Caenorhabditis elegans: one gene and its partners. The protein of the gene in region 2 interacts with the protein of the main gene of each other region in a pairwise test. Each region holds a gene or a part of one and is shown on either strand. Other genes may lie near its edges.

The links.
Region 1: the proteins of F54B11.5 (region 2) and nrfl-1 interact in a two-hybrid assay, tested with the Caenorhabditis elegans proteins (one large-scale study listed by BioGRID).
Region 3: the proteins of F54B11.5 (region 2) and dsbn-1 interact in a two-hybrid assay, tested with the Caenorhabditis elegans proteins (one large-scale study listed by BioGRID).

What each region holds. Positions count from the first base shown.
Region 1 is NC_003282.8:9,119,731-9,124,423, forward strand, and holds the start of nrfl-1 (Na(+)/H(+) exchange regulatory cofactor-like protein nrfl-1), read left to right. Parts: upstream 1-1,641; 5' UTR 1,642-1,750; coding exon 1,751-2,530; intron 2,531-3,547; exon of another isoform or gene 3,548-3,948; intron 3,949-4,074; exon of another isoform or gene 4,075-4,146; intron 4,147-4,693. UniProt on the Caenorhabditis elegans protein: Scaffold protein that connects plasma membrane proteins with members of the ezrin/moesin/radixin family and thereby helps to link them to the actin cytoskeleton and to regulate their surface expression.
Region 2 is NC_003284.9:13,593,621-13,597,775, forward strand, and holds F54B11.5 (RING-type domain-containing protein), read right to left. Parts: upstream 2,449-4,155; 5' UTR 2,448-2,448; coding exon 2,359-2,447; intron 2,026-2,358; coding exon 1,908-2,025; intron 1,859-1,907; coding exon 1,701-1,858; intron 1,567-1,700; coding exon 1,518-1,566; intron 1,141-1,517; coding exon 949-1,140; 3' UTR 501-948; downstream 1-500.
Region 3 is NC_003279.8:9,934,139-9,937,933, forward strand, and holds dsbn-1 (Dysbindin protein homolog), read right to left. Parts: upstream 1,885-3,795; 5' UTR 1,877-1,884; coding exon 1,764-1,876; intron 1,542-1,763; exon of another isoform or gene 1,468-1,541; coding exon of another isoform or gene 1,448-1,467; intron 1,393-1,447; coding exon 1,330-1,392; intron 1,273-1,329; coding exon 914-1,272; intron 858-913; coding exon 760-857; 3' UTR 501-759; downstream 1-500. Other genes in the region: epg-8 (MRG domain-containing protein), read right to left, coding at 15-111; mekk-3 (non-specific serine/threonine protein kinase), read right to left, coding at 2,119-2,280, 2,329-2,682, 2,729-2,895, 2,945-3,072, 3,123-3,244, 3,597-3,758.

The DNA of each region.
Region 1 (4,693 bases), on a different chromosome or scaffold from region 2:
ACCAATTGTTTAAATATTTTCAGAGGAGGATTAATCACTGGTGACCGAATCTTTGCTGTCAATGGTCACTCGATTATTGGAGAAAATCACAAGAAGGTGGTTGAGCGCATAAAAGCAAATCCAAATCGATGTGAAATGCTTGTGATCTCTGAAGAAGGAGCTAAGTGGTACAATGAAAATAATGTTCAAATCACATTGGACCTTCCAAATATCGAACGAGTTTCTCCAATGGTTAGTCAAAATGTAGATTTTATCTTTACAAAATTAAAAAAAACAATTTTGTGTGACTTTTCTCATTCTCCTAACTTTATTTTAAATTCTAAAATTTTTAACATGTAAGATAAAAAAGTCTTCATTGTCGTGAAGAATGCAATATTCGTTTTTGACAGTAAAATTAGAAACATTTTCCATTTGTCTTATTTCCCTTTGTTGCGCCTAAAATCCCTTATGTTACCAATTGTCAGAGGAACTCCTGTCATCCGTCCAACAATTCTCCCCCGCCAAGTTCGTGGTACGCACCCACGTCATATTCACAGGTCAGTCTTTTTGCCTTTTCACATAATTTTCTCCTTTCTCCACTTTGTTTATTCCTCATTGTTATTTTGTAATTTTCAAACAGTATCGAATATCAAATAGTATAGCTGTAGTTGCTCATTGAGCATCATTTGTTTATTTGACACCTCTAGTTGCACTTGATCAACCGAACTTCGTATATCTACTGAGTCACACTGAACCATTTTTATGCGTCATTTTCATATGTTCTCACACTAAAAAAGGATTGACAAATATTTCGAGGTAGATAGACAGGGAGTCGATAGACAAGAAATGACGTCATTTTAGATGAAAGTTATAGGAACAATGAAAATTAAAAATTGGTAATTGAACCTGGGGAAATTGGAATTAACATTATTAATGGCTATGCAATTTTAGAACTGAAATTTTTAAAAAGTTATACAATATCCGATCTCAAATGAAGAAATGGAAATAAAAATTCTTGCAAAAAAATTGAATAATTTTTTTCTGTTTCATAAATAGTTAAAAGACTTATTCATAAATTTCAAAAATTCGGGAATTGCCTTTTCCGCACAAAAAATGTTTCCTCATTAAGGAAAACCCGTGGTTGGTTTGGAGACTATCTTGAAATTGTAATGCACATATTCTGTCATTCGATGATGCTTTATATAGTTTAGGCGATTGAAATCTGATTAAAACTTTTCTTTAGAACTCCATAAAAATATTTGATTTATTGCAAAAGTTTTGTAAACTTTTCTAAGTTCCTTGTAATATCTAAGTATTGCTAAGACATCATTTCTAGTCATCCACTTGTACTTTCTCTCCTCCAATTTTTGATTTACAATCTGATTCTCCATGCACTCCAAGACGTTCTCAACCATTATTCTTCAAACGGAACAACTTTTCGATGATTCTCGAATCGATGAAGAAACGGACGACACAATAGCGTTGGTTTTGTGTGTGTGTGCCTGTTTTGTATGTTAATATTCAATAAAAATATGAAGAAGATGGAAAAAGACGGGGCAAAGAATTTATGGGCCAAACCATACATATTCTATGCATTGAGGCACGAAGAGGGACAAAAAAGTTATATATCTTGACAAACAAAGGAATACCAAAAAGGCACTTTTGTTTGATTCACATTCCTTGGCTCTTCGGCACATCACTACAGTATTCTCAACTCTTATTCTCAGCTAAGAAATTTCAATTCTAAATCTGCATATTGCCTTCTTCAAACATGGATCGCAATCCATCTGAACCAGAAAGAATAGATTGGAAAAACCCAATCACGTGGATTTCGTATCTCTACACCTCTTTCGTGTACTATTTGTGGTTGATCTCCTCGCATCTACCACATCTCCCACAACCACAACGGATTACCGATGACAAATCAACGGAGCAGATCACCAGAGACGCAGGTATTCCGCGCACTGAGATAGTAACACGAGGAGATGCTACGCAGACAGTTAGACAAGTAGCGGGTCTAGGGGACCCAGCGCCAAAGGATTCATCATTATTGCCTCCCTCTTCGTCGTTCGTCTATTGCAACAACTGTCTAACACCTCATTCGTCTCAGAGGACTTGTTCTCCAGCCTACGTCTCTACTCTCTCAAGACAAAAGTCTTTGACGTTGCTAAAGAAATTGAAGAAACCCTCATCATCTGCTTCTTCCACCACTACCACCACATCATCGACTGTATCTTTCCGTGCACCTTCACGTGCATCATCAACGATCTCCGACGCTTCTACCATCCGCCCATCTGAACTCATTGCTATCGTTCCATCTGGTAGCCACGTGTTGCTGCGAGTTCCGAAACTTGATTGGAAAACTGAATCAATTCGAATCAAAAGAACTAGAATGAGTGATTGGATGGATGCGGAGCAACGGGATGTGATGAGACAATTTGATGAAGTTATAAGATCAGAAGAAGAAGACGAGAGGACCTCACGAAAAAGGAACGGAATCTTCAAAGATGGATCTGTAAGGAGTATTGAATCATTGGAATCTAGGAGTCGGGTGAGCACACGTTGTGATTTTGAAATATCGACTCAAAAATAAAACTTCTTTCTAACAATTATAAATTTAAAAGTTAGAGAATTATCTATTAGTATTGCACCCCCTTACTGTAGGCAGCTCATAACTGATTTTTCATTGATTTTATTATAATTTGACAACTTTCTACTTATAATCTATTTTACTATAATTTTTTAGTTAATAATTTTGTTGATGTCAGCAACTGTCTTTAAAATGAACCGATAGCTCCAAAGAAACGATGGAAAATTATATTTTACGGACCAAAGTTGATCCAAATTTTTTGCTGACAATTGTTCCTGTTTATTCAAAATTTAAAAATTTAAATTACACATTTTTTGGTTTGGGCTATAATTCATCATAAAACCATACTTCTTTAAAACGTGAAATCTCAACTTGTTTTACAGCATTTCAGATAAAATGCACACCGTAGAATTAATTGAAATGGTATTTCAACTGGTTTCTTTTCTTTGTTTTTCATCTTTCCCATACTGGTACGCGTGCCTATCCTTACCCAAATTCTTCAAAAACAATTTGATAAGGATTTCAGTATTTTTTCTTTAAATTGATTAGAGACCAACTTCGCCAAACTATCAATTGGGTACTATGTTTTATAAACTATTCCAACATTTGTTGAGGTATTCGTCATCCTCTTCAACTTTTTTCTTCAATATTTCCATTTTCTCCAAAAAGAATTTCATTTTCATATAAATACGAGTATCATTTCCTCTTCTTCATATTTCTGACTCATCTTTCCTCCATCTTCTCTTGCATACATTTCCAAAAATTTTGCCAACTTGCCAAGTAAACCGCAAACATACGAGAAAACTGTTAAAACTGTGTCTGCACTCTACGCACTCTCTCATTCAGCCTCTTGAAGCTTATGTATGTTTTGTTAAATGTGTGTTGTGGCATTGGCAAGAAAGGAGAGAGAAGGTAGATCATTTTTTATTGAGAAGAAAATGACAATGAAGAAGACAAGTAATAAAAAAATATGTTTAGTGCGAGAGAAACAGAACAAAATGATGATTTATGATCAAAATTGAGACATTAGAAAGTTGGAAGAGGAACTGTAAATTAAATGAGAAAATGGGATACAGAGATATGATAGCAGATAGATTTATGAGGTATTGATACGGAAAATAACATAAATATTGGAAGACTGGCGGACTGGAAATTTGCACAGTTCAATGTTAGGAAGATTGAAATGAGTGTAGAAAAACAACTCAAAGAGGAGTGTAAATTAATCAATAAATAGGTTATTATTTTTGACAATTAACACTTCAATAAATTGTGACATAATTAAAAATATGATGAAACAGAAATAGTTTTGGAAGACTAACGAGTTACCAGCATTCCAGTGTTTAACAGTATATTACAACTCGATGAAACATTCGAAAATTCTAAAATGGAAAATCGATTAAAATTTTTTACTCCTTTAAGAAATCTTGTTCGTAAGCCATATTCTCAGAGAGAACCAAATTCAAAAAAGTTGTCTGACTACAGTAATCCGCAACAATTCCACTTACCTATCATTCGTTACAAATCTTCCTCTTCGTTTCTTTGTCCTTTAATAAATGACCTTCATTTGAATATATCTAATTGGTCCTCCATTAGACACCTTCTTCCAATTGTTTTTTATCCTCCACCTGCCATGTCTTTATTTCAATCTGTCTGTGTCTCGTGCTCTCTCTCTCATTCAATAGAAAGATAGTTAACGAAGCATGACGCATTGGAATATCTTGCTTCACTAAAAGATTGCAACATTCCAATTCTATTAATTTTTACAAAAAACCAACAATCTTCTCCCATTCTTGTCATTTGTCATGTTTAGACACTTTCTCAAGTATTTTACTAATTTTCTTCAAAAAGTACACATTCATCAAACGTTGTATGTTCAATATTCTTTTCCTTCAAACAAACTTTGAATCTCATAAAATGTTTTGTGGTTTCGGAACATGTTAGAAATACAAATAACTTGTCGGAAAACTTTCACAAAACTTGAATTTTATTTCTTGGCATTTCCCAACATTGAAACGCATCTTGTAATCCGATATTTTTGGGACTTGTTTTTTATATTCACTTTTATTCGAAAGAATATCAGAAATAATATACATTAGACTATTTCAAGTGGCGTAGGATATAGGG
Region 2 (4,155 bases):
CTCCAATTATCAATGCAACAGAAATATGAATACTTCAATAAACATAATTGTATATTTGAACGAAGAATGTAATAATTTTTTTTTTTTTAGTTTTTCCATTATGCTTGCACGGTGTTAAAAAATTTAAAAAATCTACATATAAATTTTCCATATTCAGGTTAACATTCCGATTTTCCAAAAAAAAACGCATTCGGTTTCTTTTTTTTGCAAACCATTCAAAAAAACATTATCAAAATGGATTTAGTGGAAAAAGTTGAAACAGAAATGTTGCTGATGAGTATGTTCAGTTTCTTTTTTTAACAATTGAATTGCTATTTTTAAGGCAGTTTTGAGCAAACTTTTCAATGTTTTAAATTTAAATAAGTTTAAGTTTCAAAAAATAAACCAGCTTTTGTAAATCTAAGAATACACGGCAAGCATTTTCAGTACCCAATTCAATGTTGTCCAAGAATTTCAAATAACAAAATAGGATTCATGCAGTACTGATTATTGAAATAATTAAAAAGGTTGAACGTGCTTTATTCAGATATTTACATGGTAACAAAGTATACATCATTTGAATACAAAAAAAATGAGTTGAAACATTTGGAATTTGGACCTGAGAAGTGCGGCAGTGCAAAAATAATTTCTACCATTAGTGCCCAGAAATTACCAAACACCAGTTAAAAAACTAATTTGCACTGCCCCCACTAAAAAAATATTCGACTGTGAGCTACTCACAAGAAACCGCTAGGCGCACATCGAAACCGAGAAAGAAGGAAAAAAAATGGCTAAGGCTGAGAATGAACAATGAACCGTTAATGGAGTTATGGTAAGTTTTGAACTTATAAATGGAATAAATAAAAATAACGTTTTCCAAGAAACAACGAATGAGAAATGTGAGAAAAATCAGACAGGAAAAGTGAGCGGAGGCGAGAGAGATTTGGAGCTAGTTGAATATAGTTTAGATCAAGTTTCACGGGCGATTTCCTTCAAATACTCGTTCACTTCAGCCTGGTCTGGAGCATCTGGCACCTCCCAAGATGATTCGATGGGGTTTCTGATCTTTGTCTTGCAAATCGGGCATGAGAAATCGTGGCGGTATTCCATTTCGTTGGCGATGCATCGGATGCAAAAGGCGTGGAGGCACGGGAGAAGCAACTGAAAAATAAATAAAATATCTTTATTTTTATTTTTCAATACTCCGTATCTACTATTTACAGTTTTTTATTCAAATATGTTCTTTATGAGAACTGGAACTTTGGAAATATTCCTTGAGCTCAAATGAGTTTACCGATATGAATCCACAGATAAAAATTTGCGGAAAAATGCCTTAAAATTATCCAAAGTAAACAAGTTTGGGATTTCATAATTGTTCATTTCGAAATCTTGATCGATATTTTCTCAAACTCATGTTAATGAACCAGTAGAAGAAAAGTTTTTAAATATGAGGAGCACTACCAAGGTTTTAGATTCCAAAATACAAAATGTACGGACCCACTAATGAATTAATTTTGAATACGAAATTGAAAACTTACATCGTTGATGTTTTCCATACAAATCACGCAGTTACCCTCGACATCCGATCTGCAAAAAAAAGTTGAAGTGACCTGTGAAAAATTTTAAGGTTAAAATTTACTAACGAAACAGTCTTAATTAAAATACATTTTCTTTCCAAATATAACGATATCAGTGTATACTTTTTTCTTCGTGTAACTTACGTTTGAGTCAAAATGAATTGACTAGTCGACATGGGATCCACGCTTCTTTTACGGCTTTCCTTGTTGGTGATCATCAGCTTATGTAGATCATATGTGGAGAGAAACTCGCGAAACGTCAGCTCCTTGTAGTTTAACACTTGCTTCGACATTTGATTAACCTGAAAATTTATTTTTTCAATGTTCGATTTGTACAATGAAACTACTCACCTTGCAGCAGAGAATTTTAATCTCTGACTTCCAGTTTTCATATCCTTCACGCTGATAGTCAATGTTCCGGAGAGCGAAGGCCAAGTACTCCTCGTTTTCGACAAGAAGACTGCGATAACTGAACGAATAAAATGTTAGTTAAGGTCGTGACGCCATATTTCGTAATGTTTGGGAAACTTCCGAGGAATCCGATCTTTGGTGCAGGGTTCATAAGCAAACACTTCAAAAAATGTTGCGAAAAGATTGTTTCACACTTTATGTCCAAATTATTTTTCGAACACCGCTAAGGAAAGCCTTTTTATTTATAAATTTTTAATTGTTGCTGTATAAAAAAAATAGTGGTATTTTCAAAAAGATTAAGGAAATTAAAACATTTGGAAATTATATTTGATTTTTCAAATTATGAATTATAAATATTGCAACCAAATTTGACTCTAACAAAAAAACATACTTTCGGTTCATTTCCTTAATATCGGCCAAAAATTCATCCCATGTGCATGACTGAAATCGTGGATGTCGTTTTGATTGATTAGTACCCATCCTGAAAAATATTTTATAATTTAATCTATTAATTTACAAGAAAAACGTATGTTTATGCGGAATTAGTCATGCAAAACACATGACATCAGGAAAATGGTTCAAATAAACTGCGAGCAGGGTGGAAGAGCGGAGTAACGTAGTGCGAGAAATTGAGTGAAACGAGAGACACAGAGAAACATAAGAAAACGTATCGCATGAGTCCCTTGCACTCGTGAACAGTGAGCAAATTAATTGTATGCAAAAAAGGCAAGCACACAAAGTGCAGGAAATATTCTGGAAATTAAACGTATAAAGACATTTTTCTAACAAAACAAAAAGTTTAGTATTTTATGAATTATCTAACAATGTAAGTCATTCTATAAACGTTGTCATCATACATCATACCACTTTTGAACTATCTGTTTTATCCAGCTTGTAAAAATCAGGCACCTCTATTTGAAATTTTTTCGTACACAAAAAACTGTTTTTAATAAATGATTACATAGGCACATTACGCGTCTTATCATATGGTTGTTAACCTGTTCAGCAGATAGAAAAATTGATAACAACGGAAATGAGTCATGTAAAATCGATCCGGCCTAACATAATTAGCCGAGCTCGGAAAGTTCCGCAAATCTACTTTTTTGAAATTTGCCGAGCCCGGCAAACGGCAAATTTGCAGCACACCTACTCAGATAAAGATGAAGCCGATTAGGATACATCAAGCAGATCAGTGCAGAAAAAACTGATTGTCCCAACCGACTTGAGTATCTTCGGAAGTCAATTATAGTCTAGTTAACTTAGTTAACTTAGTTAATTGTCTAGTCAACTGCAATCCACAGTCGAAAAAATGCTCACATAAAAAAGACATAAAAAATTATCACATTTTCCTAGTTTGTTAAGCACGGCAAATATTAAAAAACGATATTTGCCGAATTTTCCGAGCTCTGAACTGTAGAACTGAACTGTACATTATCACCCATTACTACCCTTCGTTTTGTTTCATAGGATCCAACAAATTTGGGCGTCAAGAAAAGAGAACGAATTGCAAAAAAACTGCAGCGCCAATATTTTATGGTTCTCATCTTTGCGATATTTTTATGTGCACCGCCGCCCTCATCTATTGCCGCGTTGGAAGGAAAATATACGATATTCAATGCTTACTTCAAAATTTATTCTGGATATTTTTGAAAATCTCGCAGACGTGTTCAGTCAGCATTCGTGGTTGAGGATATCGAACACAAAAAAAGATATCATCGATCACGTGTGATGACAGATTTTCTGCGACTAACAGGTTTGCTTAATAAAAGTTACTAAAACGCTGAAACTTCTGGAAATCATTTTAATACTGTTTTCTTAAGATATCTTTGCAAAACTGGAAAAATACCAGAAGATAATCAAAGTCAGTCAACCCTCTCTGTACATTTCTGTCACATTCCTTCTGTTTTTCTATTTGGTGCGTAAAAAACGAATATTGTTTTAAAAAACAATATTTATCCCTAAAAATTTCCAACAAGAATTTCCACATATTTCTCTTGATATTCAATTTTTCAAAATTTTCGGCTAGCTGGGCTCTAATTTCCGTTAGTCACAAAATCTCATTTCCCGTTTTGCGAAGCCCTTCAAGCTTCAATAATACACCATTTCAGCCTACGAGAATCATAAAAATTTTATGATTAACTACGACGTAACCAAGGGTATCTGAGCTTTTGGGGCAATCTTTTGAGAT
Region 3 (3,795 bases), on a different chromosome or scaffold from region 2:
ATTGGATGGCTCACCTGGAATAGGAACACCTGTCACTGTATGGGAATGTCTGCGTATCCTATGCAATACTACAGGTGCTGATCTGCTCTCAACTCCTCGTAAACTATCCATTCATTGATTTATCTTTGTGTAGCGTTTACCGCTTACAGCGTCTGAAATATGTCTGATTTAAAATTTGGGTACTTATGGGTTTCGTTCCCCCCAAAATGAGTTTTTTTAATCGATTTTTTTAAAGAAACAAAAGTTTACGAATTTTCAGACCTTTAAAAAAGAAAAAACAATCGGAAAGAAAAGAATAAAAGCTTTAAAAATCGATCAGTTGTCTGGGTACGATCACGCGTGAATTATATCGAAATATACGCAATTTTGCGTCACGGTGTTTGCAGACTCTCAGTCTGTGAAGTCCTCTCGGACAATTCATTAATTTTTTATTTCGCGAAAGAACGAAGGTTCTTGCATAAAATTCTTCATGAGAACTTGATAAGGATTGAGAGAAAATTAAATTTTCAAATTTTATTCAAGTAAGAAAAACATCAGGCATTTGCTGTTGAAGCAAACCAATAAATACATGGAAAGTACAAGGCTTCAAAATAAGGCGATGGGTCAGTCAGAACAATAAATAAAGCAAATATTGCGATAATATGCGTTACGTACAGAACGAAATGGTTCTATTGCATGAGGAAAAGATAAGTAAAAGTGGGCGGGAAGAATGTTGGTTTGACCAAATTGAAATGAGGAATCACAGGAAAAGTTATGAAATCATGGAAGCTGCATGTTTTTGGAAGAAAGAAACTCCTCGAGCATCACTTCTTCTTGCTGAGCCTTAACGGCATCTTCAGGACGAGAACGGAGTGCAGCTGAAAGTTTTATGATTCAAAATAGGAAAAAACTATTTAAACACTCAATCACTCACAAGTCAAAACGCTGGGAGATTCACACTCGATTTGCACAATAGTAGCTGCTGATTTGGCTTGTTGTCGGATTAAATCAACTTCTCCTTCAGTATGAGCAACTTCGCACAGAGCTTCCAAATACGTCATCGCCTGTTCAGTTTGGTTGCAGAAACGCGTGAGTTTCGAAATTTGAGCGTTGATTTCTCGAATCTTCTTGTCAAATTCTACAGAATTTCGGAGGAACTCATCAATTTCCATAACCGCATCGGCCTTTTCTTTACACATTTGCTGGCATCTTCCCATTCGAGTACTACAAAGATTCGCTAAACGACCCCCTTCGGCTCCATTTTCCTCTACTTCGGTGATAAGATTTTGAAAACTGAAAAGATATCATGATAACCTTCTATTATTAAGATTCCCGAGATTGGTAACATACTTTTGAAGCAACTCATTTCCAGCTGATGTGTTCAAAATTTCATTGACGGATTCGGTAGACACTCTGGAAAGAAAATGCATTTTTTTCAATTGCAAATTTTTTTGGATAGAAAACTCACTCAGAACTCCAAAAATTCATTTTAAAACGTAGTTTTTGATATAAATATTAGAGAATTTGTTTCGAAACTATCGAAAAATTCTCAGTTTTGAAATGAAACAACGTCATAAAAATACAATTGCATGGTTTATGCTAATTCAAGTGACTGTTTGTGCGTATGTATACTTTGAAGAGGAATATTGAACCTAGAATTGTGTATAAGTGTAGGTGAATACTAATGGGGATCGAAATCGGAAAATTATTTGTGAAATTACAATAAGAACTTTAATTTTCGATCAAATTTACAATTATTTTCATTTTTCAAGATTAAAACTTACTTTTGTTGAGCAACAATGTTCGCCGAAACATTCATTCTAAGTTTCTCTACACCTGTGCTCAACTCTGCTTGAACACTGCTCAATGTGTCCCTTAATGTGTTAAGCATGTCCATTTTGTATTCTGAAAATATATACCCGAATATTTGAAAGTGAAAATTGAATTAAAAATATAATTCGGCAAAATCAAACCGATTAACTTCAAGAACAATTTAAAAAATAAATACAAAAGATACTCGTTTTATGTACAAGTTTGCAACTAACAGTGACTAGAACCTCGTCCTCGTGAACGACCTCGTGTAATGTAAGAGAAATATGGCAATTAGTAAAACAGAAAATTGAGAAAAATGGTGAAAATCTAGAAATAGTCGTCGTCGTCATCAGAATCTTCATCTTCATTTTCAGAGGATTCTTGAAGAATTGGAAGTTCTAGAAGAGTAGATGCATATGGTCTTTTGGCGACTGATTGAAGCATAAGTTTTGCCATTTTGATCAGATTTTCGTCAATTTTTTCGCTTGTCTGCAATTATTTATTTTAAATGTTTTTCGTTTTAAATATTATTTTTACCGTAAAATTCGGTGGATTTTCATCGAGAATTCTTGGTACAGTAATCGGATGTTCACCATCTATAGACCATGGATATACTCCTGTATACATTTCAATTATAATAACTCCAAGACTCCAAATATCAGATCGCCTTCCAGAAACATGTCTTCCTAACGATACACCTGGATCAGTGTATTTTGGAGTTCTTCCTTGTTGTCCTTCACGTTCCCGCTTCAGTGAGGAAAACCTGCTCGATCCGAAATCCGCAATTTTAATGAGCCTTTCGCGATGCGTATTTTTTAATAAAAGGTTTGCTGGCTTTAAATCTTGATGAATTATGTTTTTCGAGTGCAAGAACTCTAGTCCTTCAAGAATCTGAAATCATTTTTATAGTTTTTTTCTACAACTTTGAGATTCTTACCTGTTTTGCGTAAGCCTTAACCAGCTCATGATGCAAAGGTCCAGTTCTTGCAATATATTCTTGCAATGATCCAGTATGCATATATTCCATAAGAATATGAATATCGTTTGATTTTGAAGGCTCGATTATGTACAAATATTCAACGATTCTCACATGTCGCAGCATTCCTGAAATTCTTTTTTTATTTAATAATTAAAATATTAAAACTCTGCTCACTCAGATATTCCACATCGGCTTCTTGAGGAAGATGTCTCCCGTGTTTCGAAATGATTTTCACCGCATAAGTTCCTCCTTTTTTTCCTTCTGCCAAGTATACGGATCCAAGAGTTCCTCTTCCAATCAGCCTGAAAAAATAATTTTTTTAAAATAAATTTCTTTTGTAAATTTATCTTACTTTCCCAAGCTATAACGCCTCGGTATACTTGGCAATTTTTCGGAATATCTGCTTGCTTGACTCGGCAATCCGTACGATCGACCAGCCAATGTTCCTGCGTAACTTTGTCGATCAAGGTCATTCTGTAAGATGAACAAAAATTATAATAACTTTATTTTTCCATTTTCTCGAAAAAAAATGCAACGATTTGTTCACAAAAAAAGCCTTTAAAAGTAATTTTAAAAAGTTTGTTCAATGTTTTGAAAACCGTAGCCGAAAAATATTCAAATCGAGTGATGGGTCTCGCCACGAAATGATTTTTGTGCGCCTTTAACTGAAAACTACGGTTCTCTTTTTGTTTCAACGGATTTTGTTCTTCATTTTTGAGATCTTTTCTTGCTTTTTTCTTCGAGTTTACTTTTTAAATGATATTTTCATTTTCTATTTAGATAAGAAAATTCTAAATTACATTTTCAATAGCTATTTTATACTTACGGTATTCGGCAAACTGTCCATTAGCGCTTTCATAACGATATTAGGCTCAGGTTCTATTTCATCAGGTTCTGAAACCGTTATTATATTTCCTGTTTTCACTCGAACTGTGTCCTCTTCATATTTTTGCAACACAAATTCCACCACTAGTTTCTTTCCATTGTGCTGAAATCTTACTAATTAGCTTTTCTGTCAATCGTCT